Tribolium castaneum: one gene and its partner. The protein of the gene in region 2 purifies or fractionates together with the protein of the main gene of each other region. This does not show direct contact. Links are inferred from orthologs where the notes say so. Each region holds a gene or a part of one and is shown on either strand. Other genes may lie near its edges.

Region 1 (2,862 bases), on a different chromosome or scaffold from region 2:
ACGCCTTTTTGGGTATTTGTGCCTCAAATATTGGTCTACCAACTCAGAATAATTCGAAACAAAATGTGCACTAGAACAGTTATAAGAATTTAATGAATTGTCTTTCGACAGTCGAGAAAAAAATTGGCACCATCAGAAAATAAAAAAATCGTAATTCTGAAACTAGCAGATATTTTTTAACGCCTCTTTGGTTATTTGTGCCTCAAATATTGGTCTACCAACTGAGAATAATTCGAAACAAAAAGTGCACTAGAACAGTTATAAGAATTTAACGAATTGTCTTTCGACAGTCGAGAAAAAAATTAGCAACATCAGAAAATAAAAAATTCATAATTCTGAAACTACCAAATATTTTTTAACGCCTTTTTGGGTATTTGTGCCTCAAATATTGGTCTACCAACTCAGAATAATTCGAAACAAAATGTGCACTAGAACAGTTATAAGAATTTAATGAATTGTCTTTCGACAGTCGAGAAAAAAATTAGCAACATCAGAAAATAAAAAATTCGTAATTCTGAAACTAGCAGATATTTTCTAACGCCTTTTTGGCTATTTGTGCCTCAGATATTGGTCTACCAACTGAGAATAATTCGAAACAAAAAGTGCACTAGAACAGTTATAAGAATTTAACGAATTGTCTTTCGACAGTCGAGAAAAAAATTAGCAACATCAGAAAATAAAAAATTCATAATTCTGAAACTACCAAATATTTTTTAACGCCTTTTTGGGTATTTGTGCCTCAAATATTGGTCTACCAACTCAGAATAATTCGAAACAAAATGTGCACTAGAACAGTTATAAGAATTTAATGAATTGTCTTTCGACAGTCGAGAAAAAAATTAGCACCATCAGAAAATAAAAAAATCGTAATTCTGAAACTAGCAGATATTTTTTAACGCCTCTTTGGTTATTTGTGCCTCAAATATTGGTCTACCAACTGAGAATAATTCGAAACAAAAAGTGCACTAGAACAGTTATAAGAATTTAACGAATTGTCTTTCGACAGTCGAGAAAAAAATTAGCAACATCAGAAAATAAAAAATTCATAATTCTGAAACTACCAAATATTTTTTAACGCCTTTTTGGGTATTTGTGCCTCAAATATTGGTCTACCAACTCAGAATAATTCGAAACAAAATGTGCACTAGAACAGTTATAAGAATTTAATGAATTGTCTTTCGACAGTCGAGAAAAAAATTAGCAACATCAGAAAATAAAAAATTCGTAATTCTGAAACTAGCAGATATTTTCTAACGCCTTTTTGGCTATTTGTGCCTCAGATATTGGTCTACCAACTGAGAATAATTCGAAACAAAAAGTGCACTAGAACAGTTATAAGAATTTAACGAATTGTCTTTCGACAGTCGAGAAAAAAATTAGCAACATCAGAAAATAAAAAATTCATAATTCTGAAACTACCAAATATTTTTTAACGCCTTTTTGGGTATTTGTGCCTCAAATATTGGTCTACCAACTCAGAATAATTCGAAACAAAATGTGCACTAGAACAGTTATAAGAATTTAATGAATTGTCTTACGACAGTCGAGAAAAAAATTGACCAAGTCAAAAAATAAAAAATTCGTAATTCTGAAACTAGCAGATATTTTTTAACGCCTTTTTGGTTATTTGTGCCTCAAATATTGGTCTACCAACTGAGAATAATTCGAAACAAAAAGTGCACTAGAACAGTTATAAGAATTTAACGAATTGTCTTTCGACAGTCGAGAAAAAAATTAGCAACATCAGAAAATAAAAAATTCATAATTCTGAAACTAGCAGATATTTTTTAACGCCTTTTTGGCTATTTGTACCTCAAACATTGGTCTACCAACTGAGAATAATTCGAAACAAAAAGTGCACTAGAACAGTTATAAGAATTTAATGAATTGTCTTACGACAGTCGAGAAAAAAATTGACCAAGTCAAAAAATAAAAAATTCGTAATTCTGAAACTAGCAGATATTTTTTAACGCCTTTTTGGCTATTTGTGCCTCAAATATTGGTCTACCAACTGAGAATAATTCAATATAAAAAGTGCGCTAGAACAGTTATAAAAAAAAATAAAATTGGTTGGTTTTGGCGTTCAGTGTACACACTGAAGTGTTACTGACCTGGACTTGGAGGCTCAGCCCTCATAAACTGCACCACAAGGGGCTCCTCCGGGTCCTGCTCCATCAACATCTGCGTCGTAGCTTCCTCACTCTGCTGCTCCGCCGCCTCCTGGACCGTCTCCCCCGTCACCAACAAACACTGCTGTTGCCCCTCACTATCTTGCGTCACAAGAATAGTTTGCCCCTCTTCATTTTGCCCCGCCACTTGATAAACCGTCCCATCATCTCCCGTGATGTACATCGGGCGATCAGTCGCCGCAAACGTCATGGTCGGGACTTCACCCTCCACTGTTGCTTCCTGTTGCCCTTCAACCGGTTCCTCGTCCAAAGACGGCATACTGATGGGGGCACTCGCTACCACTTTCGGCGGACTTTTCTTCACCACCGGTTGGGGGGCTGCTGGCGATTTCGTCCTGTAGATGGTCGTGTTGCCGATTTTTTTCGCCACGTTGTTGCTTTTCGGCGAATAGACATTTTTCGTTGGGGACAAGGGGGCGATGTTGAATTTGGGTTTGGGGAGCGGTGTTTTGGGGCGTATGGCTGCCGGCCGGGCGGCTTGCACTGGGGTCATGGCCGGGCGGGGCTTAGTGACGGACTGGTTGATGATCCGTGGCTGGGTTTTGGGTCTGGGGGATTGGAGCGTCTTTTGGAGGATGTTGGTGTTGGGTAGTGCCGGTATCAGGATTGATTGGCCGGTTTTGGCTCCTGTTACAACAGAGTAGACAGTGCTGGTGGTCGTAGCGGGGGTTTC
Region 2 (4,519 bases):
GGAATTTGGCGCTTTTCTTGATTCCAATCGATTCCCCGGATCATTTTGCATCGGTGTGAATCAAAATAGTTCCACTTTTTAGAATAGTTTAGCCGTAAATGAGAAAATAAAAAAAAATTTAAAAAAAGTTAACACCCCCCCTTAGAAATCGGTCAATTTTTAAAGTGTCTCAAAATCAAATAAAACCGATTATATCTTCTTCTATTCTAGTTTCGTCAAAAAATTCAAATGCCTTCTTGGTGTTGCAATTTTTATGATATTGAGTAATTAAAGTATCGATATTTGTATGTTTTTTTTTATTCTAAAGTTGTAAACATGGTCAAAAAAATTGAAATAAGGGTGAGGTGAACAATGATTATTAGAAAATGAAGAGAATAAAGGAATTATTGTTTCGTAAATAAGAAAATACAAAATAAATTTTTTTTTCATTCACTTTCATTCACTTTTTCAAATGTTTGAAAAACATCAAATAATAATGTTTTTTTTTGTTTCAGGTGAGACAGTCCCTGGAAGCGCTATCGACCCTGTTGATCCCCAACAACAGGCAGAAAGAAGCGAGTTCCAGAGACAGCAGCAGTTAGCCACGTTAATAACAGTGCTAGGAATGTGATCAGTATTCAATCTTTTAAATTTAGATTTAGCAATATTTCACTTAAATATTGTTGCCACCATCCCAGTATCGACACTAGGCCGCGCTGTTTCATCATATTTGCCAAATCTATTATTGCCATAAGGGTAATGGAACTACTCCTATGTATAGTCCGCACGTTTATACTATAAGCTCAATTTGTCACGAGGGGTTTTTGGTGTAATGGACCGATGATTGTAAACTGGGACTTGTTTTTAATAGTTAATTAATTTATCGCCATCTAGTACAAACTTATTTTATAATTCCACTTTAGTTCAACGCGCCCAACACTGTCTAGCAATAATATCAAAGGATTTTTTAAAAAAAAAGATTGGGAACTAATGCTGTGAATTGGTACTGAGCGATTTTCGTAATTTTAGAAACTTCGTAATCCTGATTAGGCAGAAACTTGTTGAAACGTTCATCCTTTATTTCAATGTACAGTTTAATAGGAACGATTTACACTGTTTTTAATTTTACATGTACCTACGATGTTTATATGTTAGGTGTTAATTTATTGCGGTTAGAGTTGTGTTTTGTCAATTGTTTTGTAACATGTTAACATAGAAGAAACCTGTGATATCTTATTTGTTTTGCTTTTATCAATAAATAGTTACAATTTAATACAAGCGCTTTTTTTTGAATCGCCGAGCACCATCTCTCGGCCGCCACCTCGCACCAATCATTGATCGCCTCAGCCGCCAAAACAGATCACACCAAACGGCACAAATAACTAAACCACACCTTAATTGTTACAACAATTGCACTAACTACGAGTTAAACTAATCGTGACGTGGTAATTAACCGCTAAATTGCGGAATTAGCGCCGGTTGAGTGTTAATCAGTGGTTAGATTCAAACGTCCCGCGTGTCACCAACCAACGGCCGCGCCACCTACGAATACAAAGAAGTAGTAGCGTATCGCCAATATGTTTATGCGTCTGTAGAGATGGAGCTAATATTTTCAATATAAGGAAAAGGTCAGTAAATTTGAATTAGAAACATTGCGAGTACCGCGCCCCCAGCCGCCCCCAGGCCCCCTGCCGCCGCCCCAGCCCCCGGAATGCGCCGCTGGCCGAGCTAGCCCAGAGCTGTACTTGTTTTTTCTGCTTGCTTCCAGGGCCGGCTCGGGACTAGTATGAGGTTATATCCGAAGATGGGGGAGAACACCAAGCAAGTCCGGGTGGACAATTGGGGCATTTTTTTCCTGCAGCGGCTGCAAATGTTCTTCAGCAAGACGGACTACTGCGACATGACTCTACAGTTCGAGGGGAACGTGCAGCTGAAAGTGCACCGGCTTGTTATGAACGCCTGCACGGAATACTTCCAGTTTCTGGAGCAGACTTGTGCCCTTGAGGAGAACGTTATCATGATGCCTTCGGATCTGCAAGCCGATGTGATTGTGCCCATTGTTAATTTTATGTACACGGGGATGTTGGAGTTCCACTTGTCGATCTTCGATAGGTTGTATAAAACGGCACAGCTTATGAATATCACCATTTTGACCAAGTTGTTGGATGCACAGAAGCATCCGGTGGCCTCGGCGGTCAAGAGTCTCAAGAAGAAGGCGCCGGACAGCCCCCTGTTCAATGCACAAGGTAAGTCATCTGTTCCAGTTCTTTTGTTTGTTTGACCCATGTTTTGAATTTCCACATTCGTGTATTTCTATGTTTGTATAAGACAATGATTTTAGAATTAAGTTGGTGGCACTGAATTATACACAAAATGAAGACTTGATTATTACAGTATTCATTGTGATCTATGATGATTGTTCTTATAAGTGGAAACGGGATAAACAAGTTATTTATTTATTTTTATTTTTTTAGTTGATAGTTTAAGTTCAAACTGTTTAGAAAATCCTTGCATTGTGCTTTTAAAAACATATTGAAGCAAAACTGAAACCACAAAACCACAGAAAGAAACGCAGGCGCGAAAATTTGAATTTGAAGTTAATTCTTTAAATATCTCGGGAACTAAGCATTGGTCACAATTTTGTCCTATGAGAGAAAAGATGCGTCTTGATGTAAGCTAAACGACGGTCTGGTTGAAACTGTAATTTTCAATAGTCATTTTGCTATCTCATTAAGGAGCCATAAAAGACCTACTCATTTTAGTGTTTTTGTAATGTCCAGTTCAGGCGGTGAAGTTTGAGGGGTCAGTCGATGGGGTTTGCATAAGTTTGAAAAACCCACCCTTAATTTTTTTTCCATTTTTTGTAATTATTTTTTCTAGTTTGGGGGACTGTTTGCAGTGGAGAATAAGTTGGTAGTAGTTTAAAAATTTTCGGTCAATTAGGAATAGAGATATGGGCTTTATTTTTCGAAGGGTTGTTTTTTATGAAAGTGGCTTAATGTGATTTAACTCTCCGTATTTTGTTCTATTTTGTCTGTTGTTGCTGTAATTGTACGACCATGTTGAAAGTCGTCAGAAACGTAAAAAAAACGGAATTTCCGCCCCACCAAAAACTAAGGGTGAGTTTATTTTTGTGTTTGTATGCTGGCTGTGAGGGTCTTATTACGTAATCGTAAAAGTGGGACTTAAAAAAAAAAAAAAAAAAAGGAGAAAGGGGGTGAATTGCATAACATACAGTCTATTCAATATTTATGGATTTCCATATGTCTTAACAACCCACAAAAGTTGTTTTTAGTCCACAAAAAGTCCATATGTTCGATTTTTAGAAGTTTGATTTTTCAATTTTCGTCGCAATTTTTGTCGATTTTGGGTACCCGGAACTTTTGTCAAGCAATAGCTCCGGAACTATCAGAGATAACCCCATGAAGTGTATTATCGTTGGAAAGCTCTTTAAACTATCTATCTTTTTCAAAAAAAATTATTGTTCTCCGACTAATAGTTTTCGAGCAAATTGGAGACAAATGCAAAAATTGGTAAAATTTTAAAAAATTCATAACTAAAAAACTATTGGGAATTTGGCAATTTTCTCGATGCCAATCGATTCCCCGGATCATTTTGCATAGGTATGGATCAAAATAGTTCCACTTTTTCGAATACTTTAGCCAGAAATGAGAAAATAAAAAAAAATAAAAAAAAGTTAACACCCCCCCCTTAAAATCGGTCAATTTTTAAAGTGTCTCTAAATCAAATAAAACCGATTCTATCTTATAGATTTTGATGTGCTCTTTCAGATCTAAAAAAGCGTTTTCTCCTAACTCTTTTAGTTTGGCCGTAATCGGCGTTTGAAAATTGAAAAATTTTTTGCGAGATATCGCCTTGAGTCCTATGCCATTTTGTAGAGTTTTTTATTCCGGTTGTCCTCCATTTTTCTGTTTCTCGATAACTCTAATAGTTTCGCCGTAATTGGCGGTTGAAAATTGAAAAAAAGTGAAAATGGAAACCTTTTTTTGCGTTTTTCTCGGAAACTGTAAGACTTAGAGCAACGAACAAAAAAACATCTGATAGCGCTTAATTTTATCTATTTTTTCGTCCAAACCCGGAGCCGCTCCGGGCAACGGTTCCGGCTACAGAGGCGATCAAAGTTTTTCACTAAAAAAATTCATAAAAAAAAAACTAAAAGTCGTAGAGCATTGCGGTTTGTTCGGTTGAATTCTACGGCTCATTTTACATAATATATCAATTTTTCACAAGAATTAAAAATTAAAAATTTTTTGCCTAAATTTAGGGTAGCCATTTGTCTTAGTGAAAAATTTTATTCATTAAAAAAATTCATAACTCGAAAACTAAAAGTCGTAGAGCAATGCGGTTTGTTCCATTGAATTCAGCGGCTCATTTTCTGTATTATACCAACTTTTCACGAGATTTAAAATTTTCAATTTTTTTGCTAAAATTTCCTGAGTAATACTTACTTACCTTCAAAGAGGTGAAAAAAAAATTTTTTTTAAACTCACTCCAGTAAATTTTTATGGACTTCTACATG

Evidence for each region.
Region 1: the proteins of Cp190 (region 2) and Chro purify together in Drosophila melanogaster (affinity purification with western blotting; 3 studies listed by BioGRID, with this or other methods). This does not show direct contact. The link is inferred for Tribolium castaneum from reciprocal best matches to the Drosophila melanogaster genes Cp190 and Chro.

What each region holds. Positions count from the first base shown.
Region 1 is NC_087395.1:22,938,445-22,941,306, reverse strand, and holds part of Chro (titin), read right to left. Parts: coding exon 2,112-2,862; intron 1-2,111.
Region 2 is NC_087400.1:882,797-887,315, forward strand, and holds the start of Cp190 (centrosome-associated zinc finger protein Cp190), read left to right. Parts: upstream 1-1,457; 5' UTR 1,458-1,607; intron 1,608-1,747; 5' UTR 1,748-1,765; coding exon 1,766-2,225; intron 2,226-4,519. Other genes in the region: uncharacterized protein LOC100141873, read left to right, coding at 495-581. UniProt on the Drosophila melanogaster protein: Plays a central role in chromatin domain organization and boundary function through recruitment by a range of insulator DNA-binding proteins, including ZIPIC, pita, CTCF, su(Hw), cliff and others.